Linked DNA regions of Caenorhabditis elegans. The protein of the gene in region 4 purifies or fractionates together with the protein of the main gene of each other region. This does not show direct contact. Each region holds a gene or a part of one and is shown on either strand. Other genes may lie near its edges. The genes, in order: apy-1, arx-7, C44E12.1 and noa-1.

Region 1 (5,772 bases), on a different chromosome or scaffold from region 4:
ATATATAATTTTCTATTCTCTAATATTTTAATTTCAGACAAAGTTGGAACGGTGGTAGCAAACTTCAATGCAAAGTGGAGACCTGCAGTGGACAGTATTAATTCAGAATGCATACAACTTTTCACTAACTTCAGCCTGGGAACCACCATTTTACAGGTTAAAATTTATTTCCTAGAGCCGAATTTCAGTTTTAACTAGATGATTTCAGACAATCTTCACAAAGTACGTTCAGTATATCAATAGATTCACAAAGATTCTGTCCCATGACGTATTTGCTAAAAATCCCGTGTGTTCCCAGTTAGTCAACGTTCATCAAGTGATGCTCGAAATCAAACGGTTCAAACCAGCATATTAAGAAAAATATTGCCAATGTTATTTTATTTTCCCGTGTAGACTTTGTAAATTAAATAATTTATTGATTCCCACTTACTTGAGTATTTTTTTATATATATTTTTACCCACTGGCAGCTTTATGCATGCAAAAAATGTTGAATAAAATGTTTATATATTTATTTTATTTAAATAACCATTACATAGTATTTGACAAAAATCACATAATATCGAGAACACAGATTTGGACCTGACTGGAAGGTGGGAATTGAGACAAAAATACATTAATTGAAGTGATTAGGCAAATGCAATTCCTTCGTATTTGTATGGACCATGAAGAAGATATTCGTCAAGAATAACATTACCATGAATGTCGAAAACACTTGCATAACTTGCTACTGGTTTTCCATCCTGGAATACAATTTTATAAACCGAGCATTGAGATTAACGGATTTTGTTTTTAAAATTGTGTAGATAAAACCTGTTACTTACCTTTTCCTCCGACTTGATGGCAACGATGAGCTGGTGATGAGTGTTTGGCACAAATTGGAAAGCAGCAAACCCTCTGGATTTGTTATTCTCCGATCCTACTCGCACAACCTCAAAATCAGTCAACTCTTCATTTCCAATCACAAGAACGTTTGTTCCGCGGTTCTCGTCCTCCGCCTCAGAATACTTCTCATTTGACATTCTACGTGGAAGGAAGAACCATTTTCTGTGAATTGCAGACCATTGAACAGCTTCGTGAATCATGTATCCGGGATATTCGATCCCAGCAGCTCTACGAACGCGGATATATACATCCTTCCAGTTTTCGTGATGAACGGCTCCGTGAGCAGAGACATGCTTCACCCACATTGGGTGATCGTTCACATAAACTCCGTCAGTGGTCGTCCATTCTTTTCCCAATCCTCCAACAATCAATTCGGTATCCTTAACAGTGATCCATTCTCCTTTAAATCCCTTCACGACGTTTCCTGGCCCATCGTTCAGTAATACCCAGGGAAGTGCCTTCAAAACAATATTATATTTTTTAAAAATCAATCCACTACACAAATATCATTGTTTAACCACTCATCACTCACCTTCTTGTCACTAATTTGATAAATAAGACCTGTTCTATCGTCAATTGAGTACAGTTTACCATTGAAGACGGCAAGGTCAGACAACTCCATAGCGCGTCCACCGGCGGCAATATTTCTAAAATGATGATTTTAGTAATGAAGTCAAAACAAAAAAATCTATAAAAACACATTTTGTAAACTTACGTGTCAACATAGTACTCCGAGTCTTTGTCAAAATGAATATCGGCATGCTTGTGGTCTGCAGAAACCTGAAATATAAATTTGAAAATTTCCTATAGCGATTCGAAAAAAGCAAGTTGCATTTTATAAAAATCATATTGGTCAAGCTGAGCATAATGCATTAGTTTCTTGCCGTCCTTCTCACCTTCAAAAATCCACGAGAGACCAAACTTTTCCACTTCTTCCCGTCTTTGCTGTCATGATCCAAATCGGTGATCAACATTATTGAGTATTCTTTTGCTCCATCATCAAACTTCTTTACCGAATACAAGTTAGCATGGTTGATGTGCTGTAAATGGATATGTGCGCAATCAGCTGAAAATGTAAAGAGTTACCTCTTCCTGTTCGCTAGATTTGTTGAATTGGGTACCCGAATAAAAGGCAATAGCGGTCACAAACCCGAAAAGAAGGAAGTTGAAAAAGTTTGAGTTACTTTCTTGTGTCATACCTAAAAATTATTTTTGTGAGTCTTAATTATAAGCATTAATTGAAAGTAAGAGATTTGAGAAAATATAAGTAGAATAAAAAAATAAAAAATGGTGTAGTTTTCCGAGAGTACTTCACGGCCGCGTGGCCTAGTTTTTTCAATGGGGACTCGATATTAATAACGAACACAAGTGCGTGTCCCAAATTGCATTTGCTTTATTGAGTGAGATATCGTGGCTGTGAAGTGGCAAAATATTTCGAGAACCGTTAATTAAACAATTTTATACATTTTTAAATAATGAATTCAAAATGATGCAAAATAAATTTAAAAAAACGTACAACTTCTAGAACAACGAACAATTGAGCTGTCTCGCTATCATCATCTTATCATTTTTGCTATCAAAAAATCGGTTGTGGGTTGTCGTAACACATCACAGAAGAAAGATTGATTGTGAGAGAGCCGGACAACATTTGTGCTAGCGGTCAATGTCTTTCCCGCTTAACATGGTCCCAATTGTACGATTGACCAGGAATCGATATTTCAGGGAAAGAAGAAAATACCAACAAGACATGACGAGAACAGTATTTATAGAGTGTGTCTGAGTGCGTTGGAAACACACGATTTTTGTGCTTTGTAGTCAATTGTAGTTTATGTTGAACACAAAACGAGTTTCTGCTGCTGACCGTCTTTATAACGAGCGTCTTAAAAATGTGAGGAAAAGACAAAATGACAAGAAATGAGAAAACGATAACACTAAAGAAAAACGTTGATTTAGTTGAAAGAAAGAAATATGAGTTATATGAAAGAACCATATCGAATATACATTTTGAAGGACAAATATTGTTAAAGCTAGCCGATGTTGAAATATATATATATTTTACAAGATCTGGATAGATTTAAATACTAAATTAGAAAAATTTTAAATACTCAGGGGTTGCTCAGAATCGCGGAGTCACGTATCCGCTTGTTCTTGGGAATAAATAGTAGCTTCTGGAATCAGTGTACCCAACTCCTTCCCTTCCCATCATATAACGAGATGCTCGAGGATTGAAGTACTTCTCTCCACGATGACTGTACATGTGATATGCAAGACCACGACTGTCAGAGTAGCTTTTCGAACAATATTCACAAATGTATGGTTTTGAACGAACGTCGTTGTACACTCGGAGTGGATGCTTCGGCTCGTATCCTTCAGTAACGAAAGCTGGCTGTGGAAGATCTTGCTCGGAGACCGGTAGGACTCGCTTCTTGCTTACTTTTATTGTGGTTGTCTGAAGTATTTCAAATTATATTGGTAATCTTCATTCTTCTCACAAATGTATTCCTTGTTAAAGTAAAAAAACGGTTTCGGCTTTTTTTCCGTGTGATTTTTAACAAAACCAAACGAACGAAATTTGAAATACTACTTCTCAAAAATTACTTAAAAACTTGTTTATGGGGGTTCAAAATTTTGAAAAGGCAATACCCAAATTTCAGTCAAAAACTCGAGTTGTTTCAATTTTTCCCAGTCACAAAGACTTAGGTAGCAAATTGTGGTAATTTTTGGTCCCTAATTGCTTGAAACGTATCTTCATTAACAAAACAACGTAAGGTAAACGACCAAAACATGTTTTTAAATTTGGAACTTTCTTCGGTTTCATAACTTCTGTTTCATAACGTTTTCTTTTTTTTGCACTGAAATTCCATCTGTTTAACAGTTGTGATGCAAGAAGTAAGTGCAGTCGTATCAAATTGCACCCTCTCACAGGCTATCAGCAATTTTTTTTTGTTGAGAAAAATATTTTTTTTACGTCAGAAAGCCAAGACACACAAAGTTTTTGTTCACAATTTTCTCACATCAAGGACTATGAAAACCAAATACAAAATTGAAAAGCGAATGGCTGGATGAAAAGGTTTTGATAGATTTTGAGTCGAAAGAACTGAAGAATAAAAAATCAAACATTAAAACAGCCATAGCTAGATTCTGTTGATTTTTTTCCGAGAAGTTCGTAATTCAGATTTTGTTTCAAAAAGCTCTACTGATTAGTAAAATCTAGTAAATTTATTATTTCTCAGATTTCTCAATTAGACAAACCTCTGGAGCACCTATCAATTCGAGTGGATCGTCCGTGTGCTTGTGATATAACATTTCCGTGTAAGAAAAGAACGTCCTTCCGCATTCACACTTGTACCCGTCAATTTCTGAGTGCTGAGCGGCATGATATTCCAGTTGGCAAGCAAATTCAAATGAGTCTCCGCATTTTCCACAGACATATGGCTGAAACAAAGAGTTTCTATAAGTAATCCAGCGAATGAAAACCTGTGAAACGTCATGTATTCTCTCGTGTGCACGGAGAGTGTTCATGAAGTTGAATGTGAGTCCGCAGAAACGACACTTGTAGAATACAAATCCGTTGTCATCTTTTTGCACACTAGTTCCGTCCTGACGCACTTCCTGCAATAATCACTTTTCATCGACTAAAAGAGTCTCTTTTTCATTTAACGCCTTCTTCATTCCCTCCCTTCTTCAGTTTTTCCTTCATCTTATATTTTTCTTCCTTTTATTCCCATTTCCCTCATTCTTTCACATTCAAGCTGTCAATGCTCACATCTATATTCCGCACATTTGGTTCGTGTGCTGAAAGTGAGCGCATCAACTTCAACAACAACAGCAAAATGTTTATTCACAAACAAGAGTAAGTCAACAATACCCATGTGAATTAGCTTGGGAAAGGAGAAGAATGGAAATGGATAGGTTGAAGGAAAAAAGCATAAGGAGCAGCAAGAAATTATATTCCAAGTTAGTATTTGAAAATGATAAGAGAAAAATAAAATCACAAACAACAAAAATCATAATTTGTTTTTTTTTCTTCTTAGCATCCTGCTGAGCTTTCTCTTCCAACAAATGTACAGGACATGGTTACTTCGACAATGGGCTAAATTTAAATTAAATTAGAACTGAGTTTGTCTTTGTGTATTCTGGCAAATAAGTTTTTACTAGTATGCTAATTATAAAATTAGAAAATAAAACCTTTTCTAAACTATCTAAAATTCAGCAAAAAATTAACAATTTCTCTCAAACAACTCAAAAAATATAGTTTCATTTTCTCCGGAAATTTTGCCTGTACAAACCTATAGACTACATTCCTAATCAATGTTTTTTTAATTAAAAATTATTCAAAGCACGAACTATTCAACAAAAAATGCACAAAAACACACACTTCATAAAAACAATAAAACAAACCTGTTGATCACTGCCATCCAAAGCACCGCCACTCGATTTTGTTGGAGTTTGAGCACTTGAACTTCCGACCTACAATAATTTACTTGATGCTTTTAAAATCAAATTAGGATGGCGCTGTTTTAAAGTATTTAAGCGTTTTCAGACACTATTCAGATAATTCAACATTTTTTCACTTGTATCCAAGGGTTGAAAAATGTCAGTATGAATCCAATCTTAAAAACATTTAAAAAAATTTGCCTTAAAACCTATCAAACATTTCAATCTCTGAAATTCTTTTTTTTAAATTTTACCAAACTCACATATGCTTCAACTGTTGGGGCAACAACTTTCATGATCTCTTTGGGCTTTTCCTTATTTCCATTTTCTGACGATTCTCCATTGATGCCGAAGGTTTCTAGACCATGAACCATCTGGAAGGTATTTTTTTAATCATTTCGCAATACAGACACCCCCGCGTTTTTCTCCGGTTTTTCCGTCATCTCTCGGTT
Region 2 (5,063 bases), on a different chromosome or scaffold from region 4:
ACTTTTGTCGTTTTCTAATAATGTATTCTTAACAAAGCAAAATCCGCACACAACCCTCAATTCAAAGCTGAAAAGAAGCGATATCAGAAAAATGCCTGAAAAAATTGGCTCCGAGTTAGTGCACTTGGGGTGGTCAAAAACTTTTGTGGCTATTGTCAAATGAAAGATCGTGGTTGATAACATAAATTCCCACAGTTTCATAAAAATCGATTCGCAGCGAACAAAATTATGATTTTCGACCCGGAACTTATTTGGAGACCTAATATTAATGATTTGTCGTATTTTTCAGTTTTGATTTGATTTTCACCAACCAACCAACCCAGCTACCATTTGTTGTTGATATATTAATATGCATAAAATCCCTATTGAAATTAATTTTTTCTATTTTTCAGAGTCTGGAAGAGCAAATGATGTGCTCGCCCGTGTCGCTGCGATGACCAACTCGTCCTCGTTGCAAAGGATTTTACAGCGCAAGCAGGGCAGCAATCCGTCACTTCAGGTATAATTTCTAAAAAACCAAAAAAATATTTTTTTCTTCCAAAAAAAAAATTTTATTAAAAAAAAACTAATTTCCTCGAAAAATCAAAAAAAAAACTTTAAAAGTTCCAAAATGCTTCAAAATCAACTTTTTTCAAAAAACCTTTTTAAAAATTGGGTTCTTTACAAAAAAACTTTTTAGAAATCGAATTTTTTAAACAAAAAAATGTTGAATTTTCCGGAAACCGAAAAAAAACCAATTTATTTTAAAAATAGCAAACATTTTTTGTAAAAAAATCACATTTTTTCCAAAAAACTTTTTAAAAAAAAATTATTTTCAAAAAAACCAAAAAACTTTTTGAAAAACAAATTTTTTCCAACAAAAAAAACAAATTTTTCGAAAACCGAAAAAATATTTTTTCCAAAACAAAAATTTTCCAATTTTCAAATTAGAAAAACCACAATTTTCTACAAAAAAAATTAATGTTTCCAATTTTTCCAAAAAAAAAATTTCTAAAAGAAACTAATTTTTCAAGAAAGTCGAATTTATCCGAGAAATCAAAAAAAAAATCAATTTCCAATTGTTCTCGCATTTAACAAATTTTCAATTTTCCAGACATCTGAATCGACGGGCGGTGAAATCTACTAAAAATCCATCACAGTTCATCATCATCATCAACTCTCCAGTTTTCATTCATTGCTTACGGGTTTCTCTTCATTACGGTAATAAGTTTTCCGACTAAAATTCAGTTTTTTTTTTCAAAATACACGAAAACTCTTTTGTTTTGAAAATCCGAAAATCCATTGGTTCTAGTTTTAAATTCAAAAATTCAAACGGCAAATTTTGCCGCCAGAGACGCCAATTCGATTAAAAACAGTTTTTTAAAAGTGTTTTTGGATTTTTTTTTTCGAAAAAAAAATTGCAATTTTTTTTGGGTATTTTGGAAAATTTTTTAGATTTTTAAAAAGTTTGTTACAAATTTTTTGCTCTTTTTTTGAGGAATTTTTTCACTTTAAAATTCGGTATCAGGAGCGTGTCATTTTTGTGCCATTTTTCGAAGTTTTTCGGTGAAAATCGAAAAATCGAAAAAAATGTTCAGAAAATTTACCATAAAATATGATTTTTTATCTAATTTTGTTTATATTGGTAAGAAAAAACATTAAAATTTCTTCTAAAAAGAAGGATAATGGCCAAAATATTAAGCGAATTTTTTTCGAAAATCGGAAAATCGAAAAATCGAAAAACTAACATTTTCGATTTTTTGAAAAAAAAATCGAAAAACTGACACCCTTGATCAGGAGCATAAATAGGGTCTATAAAAAATAAAATTAAATATTTTAATCCAATCTCAATAATTTCCAGATCTTGCCCCATCCAAAAGTGCATTTCGACAGTTTTTGTTCCAGTCTCAATTCAGCCGCCTTCATGTCAACTCGCTTTATTCTCCATTGAAATCCTCTTCCTCACCCACCTCCTGTACACTATTCTGTACTCTCTCTCTCTCTTTCCATTTCCCCAATTATCTTGAATATGCTCGTATTATATCGCATCCATGTAAAATAGATAACTATTGCTCATCATCTTTTCCCCATGTTTTTTTTGGTGTATTTGCTCTTCTGTTTTGTTCTGGTTTTGGATTTTTTTAATTCAAAAAATTCGATTTTTTCTTCTCGGGAAAGGTGAGTTTTCTAGTTTAAAGCCCTTCCCAATCAGAGAATAATCTATTTCTTCTGCTCCCCCATACGGTTCTTTATCGCAAAAAGAACAGTTTTTCTCGGAGATCGGTCCTCTTCTTGAACGGTCTTGAAGGGCCGTTTTAGTCTCATCTCAACCTTCCAAGAAGGGTACGGAGCTTTTTTTCAAATTTTTATTATATATGACTATGGAAAAAGTGCATAAATCGTTCTGTTCACCAAATCTACTCTTTATTGAAAAAAAACACACACAATTTAGCAGATTTTCAGCGGGTTTTCTCACAAAATTGAGGCTTTTTCGTGTTTTTGGCGATAAAAATTGTCGCTTTTAACCGGAAAAGTTGTAAAAAACGCACACATTTTTCAAGAAAAAACTTAGAATTTTTGCCAACTAATGTAATTTTTAAAATTTCCTCTGAAAAATTCAAAATTCCAGCTTCAAAAATTGGAAATTTAAAGTTTTCGCTCGGAAAATTAACAGTTTTGTAAAATTTTCAAATTTTTTAGCTCCAAAATATGGGGATTTACTAAAAAATTGATGTATTTGTTTCAAAAATTGGAAATTTGGAAAAATTCGAAAAAACCCCAATTTTTGAAGGTTTTGCTTGAAAATCATAGAAATTAATTTCAGGAGCTTCTAGAAATAATGGCATCCAAGAATAAATAGCGTTTATTTGGTACGAATATTCCCAAAACGCTGTTTCTCGCCAATTTTTCAGAGTTTTCGACGAAAATGGCGATAAAAGTCCCAAAATGGAGGAGTTTTCGATAAAATTAAATGAATCTAATCCCGAATAATTGTTTCTCACTTTTTTTCAAAAGGAAAATTCACATTAAAACACTCTTTTTTTCGAGATATTTATTAATTTTAATAAAACCAAAAAAAAAAAAAAAAAATTAACTACGAAGCTCCGTAATTCCGCATGCGCGTGTTGTTTAGTGCCACTGTGTACTCTTCTCGGACAAGCTAACCGATTTATTTTTCTTTCGCAATTTTCAAATCCACCGCGCCACATTTTCATTTAAAAATCTCTTGTTTCAGATAGGAAAAAATGTCGAAAAACATGCAAAACACCTCGTACCGAAAGCTGGATGTGGACTCTTTCGACCCGGAACAGTACGATGAGAATGACGAGAGTGAGTCATTTGTGTACTTAAGGCGCGCGGAAATTATTGATTTTTCGTGTGCATTTGAATAAATAATTTGTTATTTAATTTTAGCAGTCGATACTCCTGGACTTGGACCCGATGAGCGCGCGGTTCAGGGATTTTTGAGCTCGAATCGGCTTGAGGATGCTCTTCATGCGGCTCTTCTCTCCCCGCCACTTAAAACCAAAGATCAGGTGAGATTTAATAAGCTTATTTGGGCTTAGGCATAGGCCTAGGCCTAGGTTTTGGCTTAAGCTGGCCAGGGAAGAGACAGAAAGAAAAATTTTCAATTTCAGAACGTAAAAGACCGCGCCACACAGCTCGTCACAAAAGTTCTGCAATCCTTCAAAAACGCGGAAATCGAGGCGACTGTCCAGAAGCTTTCGATAGAAGAAAGTGATATTCTCATGAAATACGTCTACAAATCAATGGAAATCGGCGCCGACGCGGCCGTCTGTCAGTCTTTGCTCGCGTGGCACGCTCAACTCGTCGCAAAATTCGGTCACGGAGCCATTATGCGTGTCTTCTCCGGTCGCCAACGTCTCTGATTTATTCCCGAATCGTTGTGTTTGCTGTGATATTCATTCCCCCATCGCTCTCCACATGTTTCTTGTGAATTTTGAATATTTTTTGTTTCGCCTTAAGCTTTATGATGATATTTATTTTAATTCTTTCTGATATTCGAAAAAGTTTTTGAAAGATAAATTAAAGCACCACGGAATAGTATCTATCACACGATTGAAAATGGCATCACGAATTGAAAAATAACAATTAAAAATCTGAAAAAAATTATTTAAGCAGATTCGTCGTCGGATAACTTCCGGGAAGAGATCGATTCGATTTCCTGGTGATTTCTTTTTCCAGGAAATTTTCGGAATTCAAATGCCATAAGATGACTGGAAATCGAGAGAAGTAGCAGAAGAGCAAGAGAAATGCACATTGAAACGATGAATTGAGAAATGCTCATACCAATATCCAACCAGCTACCCTCATCTCGAAGTTGGTGGAAGAAACACTGAAAATGCACGGGGTTTTAGGCGGAATTAATCTCAAACAAATTTTTACTGAAAAAATCGGGAATTTTTTTATTCGAAATTAAATATGTTGATTAATTTTGATTAAAATATTCAAGTTTTCCAAAAAAATGTTTCAAATTTACCAAAAAAAAATCTTTCTCGCTTTTTCATCTTTTTATCAAAACAAGTTTTTTTTTCGAAAAAAAACATTTTTTAATTTCCGAAAAAAAATATTTTTCCTTTTTTTTGCCGTCGAAAATTTTTTTTCAACTTTTCGTTTTAAAAATTTTCCAAATTTATTTGGGTTTTATTCTCGCTTTTTTACTTTTTAGTATTAAAAAACTTTTTTATCCGATTTTTTCCCAAATAAATTTTGAAAAAAAACAATTTTTTGGTTTTTTTTTTTCAAAAAAAATCCCGCTTTTTCCATTTTCGTGCTTGAAAAATTATTTTTTTGGCCTTTTTTCCGAATTTTTGCAGTTGAAAAGAAATTCGCTTTTTGTTCATAAATTCCGAAAAAAATTTTTTAACGAAATTTTGCTGTCAAAAAGTTTTTTTTTCGTGTTTTCATATTTTTAGATTTTTCGTTCATTTTTGGTTTTTCGGTTATTTCGTTTAAAAAAATTTTCTCGTTTTTTTCGGCAATAAATTCTGAAAACAAGTTTTTTGGTTTTTTCGTTTTTTCGAGAAAAAAATGCTGATTTTCGAATTTGAAAAATTAGTTTT
Region 3 (7,100 bases), on a different chromosome or scaffold from region 4:
CTTGTCCAGACATCCTTATCTTCAGTTATTGTAAATATGTTGAGAATCCTTTTTTAAACCATATAATATCACTGACCAAACGTTTGCAAACGGTGTTTTGATCTAAGTGTTGTCAGTTTCAATCACTTCCCGCCACTTTCTTCTTTATGAGCGGCAGATTCGTTTCTTTTGCATCAAATCAAAAGAAATGAGAATTATGATGATCTGATCCAAATTGACTTGATACCCAAACCATAGCGAACCATTGACTTGTTCATTTTCTTGATTAGTATCTTCTGTAAAACCGAAAAAGTCGCAAAACCTGCGAAACGACGTACTGTAGATTTATAGTCGTTCTGTTAAAAAGACTTCAATCATGGTGAGAGATTGCGGCAGAAACGTGGGACGACCTAACCTAGAATCTCATTATTTTTCGGAATTCGCGGGAATAACCTCTGGTGTGGGGGTGGGTCACGTGAATATTGAAGGATCAGGAAGGATGCAACTTGTAAATGATAGAGAAACGGGAACACACCCAAACAAAAAGTGTCCGATGCGTACATTGAAACATATTTTTAAAAAATTGTTGGGGTCAGGCAAACTTGATCAAATACAAATTATACAAAACGCTCATGGTGTAATACGTTCCTCCTTATGTTATTCCACGATGTACACATAAAACCGAAAAAAAACATAATATTTATTTTTTCAGGATGGGGATACTGGTCATCGTGTAGTGAAACATGTGGCGACGGTGTTCGTAAACGTGTAAGAAAGTGCTATGGAAGTGGTAACTGCGACGGTCAACAATACGAAAAGCAATACTGTAATTTGCGTGTTTGCGACTTCCGAAGAAAGTTTTAAAATCGAAAGGGAAACAAATTATACGATCTTTTCCAAAAGTCTGATCGAATAATTTTAATAACACGTTTCTTGTCTTCTCCTCTTTAATGTTGTATTTATTGTCTTTTTTCTCACTCTCTCTCACACTCTTTGCTCTTTTCACTGGCTCAACCCATCTATCACCTTTCCATGTAAATACAACATCCTTCATTTGTCGTTGCTCATTTGCTTTGTCTCCTCTTCCTGAACCTGATCCCTTTTAGTTATCTATGTCACGTTACTTGCAATCGGTACTTTTCATCATTCCTTCCAATCATCATCATCGTTTTATTTTTTTTTTGCTGTTTCTTTTCACTTATTTTTTGTCGAGATATAGGTATTGTTCCCTGAGTGTTCTACTTGTTAGACCATCACTGGTCGCCTCATAACTACGGGTTTTGAAATTTAATAAAAGTATTTTCATCTGAAAATTTTAAAATTATAGAACTGAGATTTCACATAGAACATTGTCACACCATTGAGTTTTTTCTTTAGATATATTGACACGAATTGATTTTCTCAATACGTATATTTGTATTTTGTAACGTTATCCGTTTCTCTGTGTTGCAACAGTCTATGTGATAATGAATTAATTCGAATGATAATCTGAATTGTTGCTGTTCATTGTATGATCGTTTGAATGGAAAGCAAAGGCACACTGTAAACTTAATTTCAAAAATATTTTCAATGGTTCAACTATGATTAACTACATATAAAAACTCTTGAATTTTCCATGATAAAATACGTTGGGATTAGTGCTTCAGTATTGTGTGAGTGAACGAGACGCAGACGATATAAGAAATACGAAGTTGATTGTTCTTTCGCGGTACTCGATCTCTGTCCGCTGTTCTTTCTAAAACGGAGCAAACGCATAATTAGGGTTTCCAAAATTGCGCGAATTTAGTACCCAAAAGAAAAGTGAGAGCAAAATTTTTTTATCATGCGATAATGAAAAGTTGAAAAAGTTGACAAGCGTATGTGTGGGTTGGCGCAATCTATGTAGATTGAATAGAGGAGAGAAAACATTCTGACTCCTCGTGAAGACTGTAGTTACAAAATATCAAAAATTCCTCGTTCTCGGCAGTTTTTGTTCAACAGGCAAGATGTTACTTTTTATTAAAAAATAATGAGACAGTGTTTCTATGTTGTTTTGTGAAAAATCTATGTGAACGTGCATTTTCCTACATCCAATCTTACTAATAGTTTAGACCACAGTATGTACGATGCTTCTGTTGGAAGATAGTGTTTTCATTTTTTCAATGATATGGAAAGCACGAAGAATATCAAGTATATTATATTGAAAATTGTTTATGTGTTTGCATGAAATCAATCAAAAATTGCCCCCCGTCCGAAGATAAGAGGGAACAACAGTTTTTATTACTTTCGTTTCCAACGGAAATGCCCTACTTTTGCGGTCGTATAATATAACAATAGGCGTCGTGACAGTTTTATGAAGACATACTATCAGTCGATCACATGAGGTTGCGTGATATTGTGATTTTCAATTTTTGTTTTCATATCTATATCAGGTACTTTTCATTTTCTACCCCGCATTTTTAAAAGAATATTCAAAACATTGAATTATTCGAATTCAATTCTCACGTGAATGTTCATTTTAATATTATTTTCATTTTTAGGCTTAGAAAACAAAATTACTAAGCCTAAAATACACATAAAGTTCACGTTTTTATTAAAGAAAATGTGCAGAAAAAATGCGGGGTAGAAAAGGAAAAATACCCTATTAATATCACACACATTTATCATTATTTTTCGCTACTTTCAACAGGCATTAATTTTCATTTTAAATATTGCGTATTGCCTGCGAACGTTTGTTAAAACATGCTCTGGCCTATCTGACTAGTTTACAAATTTTTTAACGATGTGGTTCCATTTTGAAAACCTGTTATAATCAAACTGTTCAATCTCATCTCTACACTTCCTGTGATATTCCTATTCAATTTCCATGGTCCAGAAATGACCTTGAAAAGACCGGCGTCGACAAAACGGTTTCTTGAAAACAGTAGCCTTTCTTTGTGAGAAGATCTGAAGACAGAAGTCAGATCTCATTGAACACTTATCTTCGCGATGATGTTAACAAAACATTATTTCTTGCAGCATCCGTGTCTATTAGCCAGTAACGTGAACGATGACAATCAAATGGGAAGTGGAAGTTGAAAAGCGACTCCTTGAGTACATGAGCCACTCGTCCACTACGGGAAATGAAGGTTCAACAATTAGAATCGTCTTCATAATTTTAGAGAATTTTTAGCTGCATTTGCTGATGTTGTTGCAAAAGATCTTGAAGAGAACGGATGGACAGTGTATAAACAGAGCATTCCCAATTCAGACCGGTACAACATTTATGCAACATTTCGGAATTCTGACCCAAAACGTGAGATTTAAAACTACTGGTTATTAGATATATTGCTGGATGGGAGAAATATTGGGTATTTTTGGAAACCACTCTTAGTTCTAAAATGAAAAAAGACCAAATATCATAGCATACCTTTAAAAAAAGCCCATTAATGTGATTTACAGTTTAAATATAACTCAGTTTTCTCCTATTACAACTTTTAAAGTCGACCAAAAAAAGTGTATCTTTTACGAGTTTTGATTAACTCCGACTACATTTGGATTGAACCTGTATTAACGCTCAAAAACATCAGAAAAATCTTACAATTTTTGGAGTTTTTATACTTTATGATATTTGATAAAAATAAACAGGAGAGAATACAAAATTTACACTGCCAAAACATAATTAATAAGACTGATTTAGAATTTTTAGAAAAATTTAATAATTTTTCAACAAGAATTAGATTTTTTTTCGCATCAATCGAACAGTTTACCATATTTTTGTACTAACTTTCGGTTAAAAAAAATTAATAGTCATTTCAATAATCATAAGTGTTTTTGTACGGTTGCCAATAATAGTTTCCGGCTCAGATGTAGATGCCGTAGTTTCAATCTTCCCGATTTTCCGTTTTTTTTTTCTGAAAAGCGAGACGCTTCAGTTTTTTTTTGATCATGTTCTATCTATCCTTTGACATATCACTTTTAGTTCAATGTAGGACTTTCAATTCAGTCAACCCATTTTTTGCCAAAAAAAACATAACGATCAAAAATGTTTTGTTGCTTTTTCTAATGAAAAAAAAAACACTCTGTTAACTAAGTATGCACTTGAAAATAAACACAATCAAAAACTCTTATTCATTTCAGATGTCAAAGTGCTACTAAACACTCACTTGGACACAGTTCCTCCGTACTTTCCACCAACCCAGGACGAACAGAACATTTATGGAAACGGGTCGAACGATGCTAAAGGTTTTATTCAGACGCTTCACTTTTTTTCTTGTGTCTTACCGGAAATGACCTTCGGTCACTTGATTCTTGTTCCCAAGTGTTCTGCAATGTTGCGAGAAAAACTGTTTTAATACCCCTCAATAGCAGCGTGCATCCAATCGTATAACAGTAGATGACACCTGTTTTACGCGAGTGAACTTTGTTCAATTCATTTTATTTGGCGGTAGACATACACACTTGGACAAAAGTTTTGCAGAGATGTCCAAAATTTTCGCGATTGTCCATTACCGTCGGTATAAGTGAGATTGATCATAGCATGAAAAACCTTTTCCAAAAGGGGATAATTACCAAAACAACACGACCCTTGTACTTTGAAAGATTGAAAAAAATCCCTGCAAATTGAGGGAAAAAGTGACAAGACAAAGCTGTTACAGGACAATTGGCTGCGATGGTCACGGCTGCCACTATTATTTCAAAGACAGATGAGGATGTGGCAAGGGCATTGGGATTACTTTTTGTGGTTGGCGAAGAATTCGACCATATTGGAATGATTGTAAGGGGTTTGCTAGTAACTCTAGGTTTAAGATAAAATTCCAGGAAGCAAACAAGTTAGAAATCCTACCTGAATATCTTTTGGTTGGTGAGCCAACGGAGTTGAAGTTCGGGACAATTCAAAAGGGAGCTCTGAAAGTGAGCAGTAATTTATGTTAAATTATATTTGCTTTTTTAATTTGTTATAAAAAATTATAGACATTAAGTCACACAACCACATGTTGCTTCTATTTTCTACCGTATCTGTTTCAAAATTTAATTTAAGTTAGATTCCGAATATGTTTTTTTAAGGATTAGAAATAACTAGTTTTTTTTCTCAAAAAATTACGACTTACTAAAAAATCTTCCAGATCATTCTTTGCCTTGAGACATCCTAGCGCATGAAAAATATGCCAAAACGATTGATACTGGGGAATCTAACATTGTAAATTTTATCTTTTTTTGTATTAAATGATATCCTAGAATATCTAATTGACCATTCGCCATGAACTTAGCACTATGCGCAAAATAATTTTCATCGTACCATGCTCAGGTGAAATTGACCGTCACTGGCCAAGCAGGACATTCGGGCTACCCTAACTCCGGTTCAAGTGCTATTCACAAAATGATAGAAGTTCTTCATGATGTGCAACTTGCTAAATGGCCATGCGACGCAACCAACGGAGCTACCACGTATAACATTGGGAAAATCTCTGGTGGTCAAGCTTTGAACGCATGGGCGGCAAACTGTGAAGCAGACATTTTCTTCCGTGTAGTAACTTCTGTGAAGGATATTCAAAATCAGCTTTTAGCATTGGTCAATGGTAATGAAATCAGATCTGGAAAATCATTTTTCATGTTTTTCAATTTCAGGTCGTGCAGAAGTGAGCCTGCTCAGCTTTAATGACCCAGTTATTCTCGACGTTCCTCCAATTGAAGCAGAGCTAGACCACGTTTCATTTAACACAGATATTGCATACTTTGACGCAAGAGATAAGGTGAAAGCGAAGTATCTTTTTGGTGGTGGCTCAATCAAAAATGCTCACTCCAAAAACGAATTCATCCCAAAGGATGAGCTTCATAAGTGCACCGCAACTCTTGTCAAACTAGTGAATCATTTGTATTTGGAACATTATTAACTTTCGGATATGTTTGCAGAAGAATAAATGTAGTTTTTCATTCAATGGATGTTATTCTTGTTAGATAATTTTAATTAAAATCGCGAAAAAAATTGAAAAAAAAGAACAAGAAAAGAGAAAATAGCAAAGTGATAAAATATTCAAAAAACATATAGAAAAGATGAAAACCCTATAAGATCACAATTGGAAATGAGAAAGCTGGAAAAAGAAAGGATACTGTTATCTGATCAACTTTGAAGGAGATTCTTTTTAGGCTAAAATTCACAATCATCAGAGAAAAAAAAACTGAAACGGAAAAAGTCTAAAGAACAATTTAGGGAAATTTTTAAATATCAGAAACATAAATCACCAACGTTTTTTGAAAGATTTTTAAGTGGACAGTTCCTACTATAAACAGCGATACGACAGTAGATAGTAAAGTTCAAAATTTTACGACTGAACGGTGGAACCAACTTGGCTAAAATTAAAACACAAAAACGTTCTAAAGATTAAATAACGGTAAGCAAAAAAAACCTGATATCAAAAGTGGCATACCCAGTAGAACGGGGGGAATTTGTTTGAAAGTGGGAACTCGGAAACAAAATCAGAAAAAGAGCATCGGGTCGCTGGAGGACATTTTGTGAGACAGACGAGATGGGGACATTGGTGTTTTACCTCCAGAGACATCATCCATGTATTGTGCATACTGAAATAAAATATGATAACGTTTGATCAAATCTGCATAACCGGCAAAAACAATCGAGATAACGTCTGCGGGTGCAAAATTATGAGTTTTCACAGCTAGAAGTTTTAAATATGAAAATAAGCGTCAATTCGTTTCAAAGTATGAACTGAAAATGTTCATTCCAGATTTAAAAAATAATTATAACAATTGTACACCAGACTTTAGCTTTTTGAAACCAACTTACTTGTTCTGCTAGGGAAAACTCATTTTTCTGAAAATTTTTTGAATTTCTCAATTGAAAATAACATTATTGTGCACAAAAACACACAAATTTGTGCGTGCTCTCATACAAATATAATTTTTCACCCGATACTACTCCGTGCACGTTACAAAAATAAAATGCAAATTAAAATGAAAATGAACATAAAAATAAAATAAAATAAACCACAAGAAGCTGAATCACAGTTTCAAACTCTATATCTAATCTCGAATTGTTTTACCATCTGTGGACCAACATTGTCTTCGATCCATCGAAGGAGGTGAACGTTATAAGGGACATATGGTTGTCGGAGCAGATGCTCCTGAACTTCAAGGAACCGCTTCAA
Region 4 (6,569 bases):
AAAAAAAAATTTTTTTTTTTTGAAAATTTCAAAATTTTCCAAAAATCCTCCTCACGATTTTCCAGCATTTGTGCATCCGACGAGGAAAATGTCTCCACGCATTCCTAGCTTAACATTCGTATACTTCAAATAAATTTCAGTGATGAGCTCCTCGATTCCGTATCCTGTCTTGGCACTGACCAACGCTGTGTGGAGGATGTGGAAGCTGGAAATTTTTAAACGGCTTTTTTGGGACGTTTTTTTTTTGATTTTTTTTTTCGAAATATTTTCTGTATTATATATTTGAAAATTTTAATTTAATATGAAATTACAAAATTATTATGGTTTTTTTTCTGTGAATTAAATAATTCTTATACAATTATAATTTTTCTTTTCTGGAATTAAAAAAAAAAAATTATATGCGTTTTTTTTTAAATTTGCTTACAAAAAAGTAAGCTTTTTTTCTAAATTTGTCTGATATTTTCCAAAAAAAAAAAATCAAATAAATTCGAAAAATTATTTTTTTTTTAATTCCAAAATTTGATTTTTCAAGAAAAACATTATTTTCCTGAAAAAGTTCAGATAAATTCGAAAAAAACTTTAATTTTTTTAAATAAATTTCCAAAATTATTTGGCAAAATTCACAAAAAAAACAATTTTTTTTTCAAAAATAAAAACATTTTTGTCTTTTTTCTTACAAAAATTTCAGATATTTTTGAAAAAAAAATTTTTTTTTCGAAACTTTATTTATTTTTAAATTTAAATTTAAAATTAAATTCTTTTAAAAATTAATTTTGACATTACAGAATTATTCTGAATTTGAAATAAAATCAATAACTTTAAAAAATTCGTTTAGAATTTTTTTAAAAGATTGATTAAAATTTCCAAACTTTTTTTTCAAATTATTTTGAATTAAAAAAACCAAGAAATTTCCAGATAAACTTGTTCCGGAATTTTCTTAAAATATTCAATAAATTTAAATACCATTTCTTGAAGTTTTTAAGTTACACAAAAAATTAAGTTTTTTCTCGAATTTTGTCTGATATTTTCCAAAAAAAAAGCAATTTTTTTTGGAACAATTTTGAATTTTATTTAAAATTCCAAAATTAATCGGCAAAATTCAGCGAAAAAATTTTTTTTTGCGAAAATTGTCTGATTTTCCAAAAAAAATTGTTTTTTCTGAAAAATTCCAGATAAATTTTTTTCTAAATTTTTTTTTCTAAATTCGAATAAGTCTTAGAAAAATCAGAAAAATTCAAATATTGTATTTTTTCCAGATAAATTCGCAAAAAATATTTTTTTTTGGGAAATTGCCGTATTTTCCAATAATTTTCAACCTAATCCGAAATTTTTTTTTTTTGGAAAAATCTGCTGAAATTATTAATAAAAAATCAACATTTTCCAGAAAATTTCAGTTATTTTTGACATAAAAAAACACTTTTTATTTTAAAGGAAAAAACATGGAAATTCCCCAGAAAAAAGTTTAGGCTTAAAAACATTTTTTTTAGGAAAGAAAATCTTTAATTTTCAGAAATTGTCAGACATTGAAAATTATTTGAAAATTTCAGAAATTTTCCGTGATTTAAAAAACAACCAGAGATTTTCTGAAAAAGGCTGGAAATTTTAATATTTTCAGATTTGTGGTGCCACAGGCTGTGTGTCCCATTACGGTTTGATCTACAAAAAATGAGCGGGAATTTTTTGCCCAAAAAAATGTGACGTCTGCACGTTGAGAACTCTGCGTCTCTTCTCCCGCATTTTTTGTAGATCAACGTAGATCAAGACGAAATGAGACACCCCTTAATTTTTTTTTAGTTTTTTGCCAAATTTTTACGATATGTGTAGCTTTAAAAAAATAATTTGAATATTGAATTCCAAAAAAAAAATTCGCTTTTTTATATTTACAATATACAGTTTTTACGAAAATTAAAATTAAGTTAAATTTTTTTCCAATTTTTTCGAAATTTCTTTTTCGTAGATCTACGTAGATCAAACCGAAACTAAAAATCCCGCGTACTTCTCCAACAATCCAGCCTTCTCGACAGCTCTCTCCACCGTCTTCTTAAATCTCCACATATAACCCGTCCGAGCGTCAGGCGGCAACAAGTCCACCTTATTCCCCACCACAATCATCGGCCGACGGCTTCCAACAACCGACGCAAGCCTCGGGTAGATGCTTCCGGGAAGATCCGTAACATCAACGACAAGCACCACAAGCGACTCGGGCTGCTTCTTAAGCTCGCCCATCATTCGAGTGTAGTCCACATCGCATACATTGACATTGAGCAGAAAATTGTGCTCCTGGAGCAGGTGACACCGCTTGCAGAGGCTCTGATCTACAGATCTTCTGTCAATCTTCTCCAAAATCTCCAGAGGCACAAATCCCGGCAGGGAGCTATCTTTACAGTGGAAATTTGCTCCGCACCCCGTGCATTTTCGCGAGCTCGCCGGGATCTCCTCATCGACAGTTCCGATCATGCCAGGTTCGGAGCTCAGATCATCCGATAGATCCTGATCCTTCCCTGATCCTTCTTGAAGCCCTTCAGCCCTCTGCCCGGGTCTTTGGAAGGAAATGTGCTCTACAGCATCATCACCGCCAAAGTATTCCCGGGTGGCTACCATCCTGTCGCCGGGGTCCAGGTCTAGAGAGCTTCCCGCCACGTATTCGTCGACAAAGACGTCAGCTTCAACGTAGAAGCCTCGGTCTGAGGAACCTTCGGTGGATCCTTCAGCTTCAGCTTCGGAGCCCTGAGCTTTTGAAGCTTCAGCTCCAACTGAAACCGACTTCAATGGGAAACTAGCAGCTTCTCCCTGATCTCCCCGATCCTTCACAGCTTCAACCTTCGGCGGAGCCCTCTTCTCCAGAATCTTCTGATAGCTGGGCTCCTGGCTGAGCATCATCTCGCCGAGCATTGACTCTGTCGAATATCTAGAAGCACCGGGATCCCGAAGATCCCCCGAATTCAACTGCTCCCGTTCAAATTCCGACCATCTTCGGTGAATCTCGCCGACTTGGGCGGTTCGGTTGATCTTCAGACGCTTCACCGCGTCCAGCGTCTTCTGGATGTCCCGACGTGTGCTCAGGTATCGGATTCCACAGGATCTTAGCATTTTTTCGCTTTTTTCGGGCTCTCCGTAGAGCTGCTGCTCAAACTATCGATTGAATTGGATTTCGAGCGTTCGCCGAAATCGTTGGTGACCTCCTGAACGTTATCAAAGATTCCGTAAAAGTTCCAGCAGTTGATCAGAAAAATTACGGTGACGTAGAGGCAGGCGGCCGTCGGGAAGAAGATTCCGATTGCGAGAGCCCAGAGTTTTGATGGGATGTACGTGATTCCTGGAAAAAGAAGGGAATTTTCGGGAAAAAGTTTGTTTTTTTTTGGGTCTAACTGGTTATAAGATGCAATTTGGCCATTTTTTTTAGAGAAAAAAAAACCAAAAATTCGGGTTTTTTTATCATAATTTTTGTGTTGAAAAATTGCTAAAATTTAGGGCGTTTTTTCAAAAAAAAATAAAAGGATTTTTTTGCGAAAATAACGGAAAGAACGGATTTTTGTTGTGAAAATCGGAAAAATTTGGTTTTTCCCCGAAAAACGAAAAATAAAAAAATTGTGGAATTTCAAAAATTTCCTAAGCCTGAAGCCTGAAGCCTAAGCCTAATGTCCAAGCCTAAGCCTAACCTAAATAGCTAACGCTCGCCACTGACGCCAAACATATGCTTAAGCCTAAGCCTAAACCTGAGCCTAAGCCTAAGCGTAAGCCTAAAGCCTAAGCCTAAAGCCTAAGCCTAAGCCTAAGCTTAAAGCCTAAAAAAAAATAGCCTAAATTATTGAAAAATACCGAATTTTTTGATTTTTTTTTTTTAAATTTTATTACGAATTTTAGGTCTCGCCGCTACTATGATTTTATTTTTTTCATTTTAGAAATTAAGCAAACTTTTTCTTTCAAAATTCAAAAATCCTGTGAATTTTTTTCCCAATTTCTCCGCCGTACCCAATCGATACAAAATCGGGACCGGCGTGATCGCCCAAATCAGGTAGATCACAAAAAGTGTCCAGGAGACGATGTAGAGAGCAAATCCGTAGATTCCACGAGCCGGATGGGGTCCTGGGAGATGGATTTCTTCAGATGGTAGTGGGGTTTTTGGAGTTTTTTTGGTTGTAGAGGAAGATTCGGTGGAGGTCATCCGCCGGAAAGATCTGAAAAATTGAGGAAATTTTAAATAATATATATATAGAAAATCGAAAAAAAGCGTTTTTCAGAAAATATTTTAAAATTCGAAATAAATTGTTTTTTCTAATACCAATTTTTTTTTTAAAAAATAAATTCTAGTTTTTTAGGAAATTAAAAAAAACTTTTTTAATTTTTTCACCATCAAAATTCAAAAAAAAGGTGTCAAAACTTCAAGAATTTGAAAAAAAAATTTCACAAAAAAATTTGAAAAATCGAATTTTTTTAAATTTAAAATAAAATTTTCGAATTCCAAATATTGAAAAAAAAAATTCCAATGAATTCCAGTTTTTAGGAAATTTCAAAAAAAAATTTTAGTTAAAAAATCAAGTAATTCCAGCGATTTTCAACGCAAAATTTCGAAAAAAAAATTAAAAAATTTCAGAAAAAAAATAGAGGCCAGTTTAATTTATACAAAAAAAAATCTAAAATTTCCCGAGATTTTGAAAAAAACGACAATTTTTACAAATATATAACTATTCTAACCGTATTCGATAAGAAAAATCTACAAACAACGATTGGGGCAAGTGAGCGGGTGGAAGGAAATTGATAAAAAATCACAGAAAAAAAAGTGAAAAAAATATGGAAAAATCACAGAAAAAAGGTAGGCAGGCAGGCAGGCAAGTAGGGGAGCAAAAATATAATTTTAAAATTTTGAAAAAATAGGGAAAAACGAGAGTTTTGGGAGCTGAAAATGGTGAAAAAAGGCTTAAAAAATAGAAAAATTTAGATTTAATTATTTAAAAAATCGGAAAAAAATTTCGGGAGGTTTTGAAGAAAAAATTGTCAAAAAAATAAATTGTTTCAACTTTTTTTAGCGATGAAAAAAATTATTTCCCGATTTTTTTGATAGAATTCCACCGAAAATTTCAATTTTAACCTGAAAAAATTCAAAAAAAAAGTCGAAAAATTGGAAATTTCCTGGAAATTTCTCGAATTTTTCAACAAAAATTCATGGAATTTCATGGAATTTTTTTCCATCATTTTTAACGGATTTTTTCCAATTTTTTTTCACAATTTCAGGCAGAAAAAATCGAAAAAATCAGTTTTTTTTTTCAGAGATTTCTAGAATTTTCCAATAAAAATATGTGAATTTCCATCAGTTTTTACGATTTAAAATTTGGGAAAAGCCCAATAAAAAACTGAAATTTTTACGTTTTTCGGCATTTTTAAAATAAAAAAAAGTTAATTTCAAACTGAGAAAATTCTTGGAAAAAAATCGGAATTTTTTAACTGAAATTTTCCGTTAATCTGCAAAATTTTTCAACCTAGAAATTTGAATTTCCGTCATTTGAAGCTAATTTTCATAATATAAATTTAGTTTTTCCTTCGAAAAATTTAATTTTTTAGAATATATTTAATCAATTTTAGACGGAAATTTCTCGATTTTTTCAATAAAAATTCGTGGAATTTGCATCATTTTTTCCAATTTTTTAAACAAATTCAGGCAGAAAAATCCGTTTTTTACAGAAATTTCTCGATTTTTTCAATAAAATTTTTTTCATGGAATTTCCATAATTTTTAACGGATTTTTTCCAATTTTTAAACAATTTTAGGCGAAAAAAATCTGTTTTTTTTTTCTGAAATTTCACGTTTTTTTTTCAATAAAAATTCGTGAATTCCCATAGTTTTTAACGGATTTTTTCCAATTTTTTTACAATTTCAGGCAGAAAAAATCAGTTTTTTTTCAAAAATTTCCGTCATTTTCCATCAACCATTTCAGTCCCATTCCTCATCATCAAAATTCGGTGGAGCCGGAATCGTGGATGAAACCTTGGCCGGCGGCTGGGCTTCCACTTTCCCATTGATCGCCTTCCTTCGTGCATCCAGTGCCTTCGACAATGCCGACATCAAGTCTCCACCACCACCACCGCCGTCTGGAGCTGGTGCTGAATTTCTCGGCGTTTCCGATGCTCCGAGAAGAGCCGACGACTCAAGAATCCCATCGAATTTCCCCTTCCGCTTCGGCTTTTCGGCAATCCTGCTGAGTTTCGCATTTCCAGCTCCACCGGCTGCTCGGATCGCAGCCATCAAGTCTGAACGGCCTCCGTCGACGGATTTCGTGGGGCTGAAGGTTACGGAGGAGCTTGCTGATGGGGTCTGCGGTGGAGGTGGAGGTGGCGGTGGTGGAGGTGGCGGTGGTGGTGCTGGAGGTGAGATGATCGGAGGAATCTCTGTGATCTCTACTGGAGTTGCAGCTGGCTGAGGAGAAGGATCAAGCTTCATCGGTGGTGGTGGTGGTGGAAGAATGAACGTCGTCGGAGCATCAGCTTCAGCTTCAGTGGGCTCCGATGCTTCAGGAATCTGATCATCTGCTGGAAGGATGTCTAGAAGCCGATCCTCATCGATTTCCGGGTCGC

The links.
Region 1: the proteins of noa-1 (region 4) and apy-1 fractionate together in Caenorhabditis elegans (co-fractionation; one large-scale study listed by BioGRID). This does not show direct contact.
Region 2: the proteins of noa-1 (region 4) and arx-7 fractionate together in Caenorhabditis elegans (co-fractionation; one large-scale study listed by BioGRID). This does not show direct contact.
Region 3: the proteins of noa-1 (region 4) and C44E12.1 fractionate together in Caenorhabditis elegans (co-fractionation; one large-scale study listed by BioGRID). This does not show direct contact.

What each region holds. Positions count from the first base shown.
Region 1 is NC_003284.9:7,567,641-7,573,412, forward strand, and holds apy-1 (Apyrase apy-1), read right to left. Parts: upstream 2,083-5,772; 5' UTR 2,081-2,082; coding exon 1,970-2,080; intron 1,924-1,969; coding exon 1,780-1,923; intron 1,664-1,779; coding exon 1,599-1,663; intron 1,531-1,598; coding exon 1,416-1,530; intron 1,342-1,415; coding exon 823-1,341; intron 742-822; coding exon 628-741; 3' UTR 501-627; downstream 1-500. Other genes in the region: vps-52 (Vacuolar protein sorting-associated protein 52 homolog), read left to right, coding at 38-156, 209-355; Zinc finger protein unc-98, read right to left, coding at 3,000-3,332, 4,136-4,318, 4,361-4,495, 5,285-5,353, 5,584-5,694; pcyt-1 (Putative choline-phosphate cytidylyltransferase), read left to right, coding at 4,717-4,736. UniProt on the Caenorhabditis elegans protein: Hydrolyzes UDP and to a lesser extent GDP. By preventing the accumulation of NDP, may promote the reglucosylation of incompletely folded glycoproteins in the endoplasmic reticulum following the unfolded protein response.
Region 2 is NC_003279.8:3,068,302-3,073,364, reverse strand, and holds arx-7 (Actin-related protein 2/3 complex subunit 5), read left to right. Parts: upstream 1-3,214; 5' UTR 3,215-3,224; coding exon 3,225-3,309; intron 3,310-3,393; coding exon 3,394-3,515; intron 3,516-3,617; coding exon 3,618-3,869; 3' UTR 3,870-4,040; downstream 4,041-5,063. Other genes in the region: M01B12.4 (Ensconsin), read left to right, coding at 393-499, 1,094-1,126; pign-1 (GPI ethanolamine phosphate transferase 1), read right to left, coding at 4,115-4,336.
Region 3 is NC_003284.9:7,593,951-7,601,050, forward strand, and holds C44E12.1 (Peptidase M20 dimerization domain-containing protein), read left to right. Parts: upstream 1-2,976; 5' UTR 2,977-3,007; coding exon 3,008-3,086; intron 3,087-3,130; coding exon 3,131-3,253; intron 3,254-4,077; coding exon 4,078-4,182; intron 4,183-4,595; coding exon 4,596-4,714; intron 4,715-4,758; coding exon 4,759-4,851; intron 4,852-5,245; coding exon 5,246-5,516; intron 5,517-5,565; coding exon 5,566-5,831; 3' UTR 5,832-5,874; downstream 5,875-7,100. Other genes in the region: A disintegrin and metalloproteinase with thrombospondin motifs adt-2, read left to right, coding at 692-843; twk-17 (Potassium channel domain-containing protein), read right to left, coding at 6,415-6,516, 6,740-6,766, 6,996-7,100.
Region 4 is NC_003280.10:13,536,907-13,543,475, forward strand, and holds the start of noa-1 (G domain-containing protein), read right to left. Parts: upstream 3,973-6,569; 5' UTR 3,916-3,972; intron 3,317-3,915; coding exon of another isoform or gene 3,091-3,316; coding exon 1,997-3,090; intron 206-1,996; coding exon 56-205; intron 1-55. Other genes in the region: Y48E1B.17 (PIG-P domain-containing protein), read right to left, coding at 3,084-3,316, 3,973-4,165; ddl-2 (WASH complex subunit homolog 1), read right to left, coding at 5,929-6,569.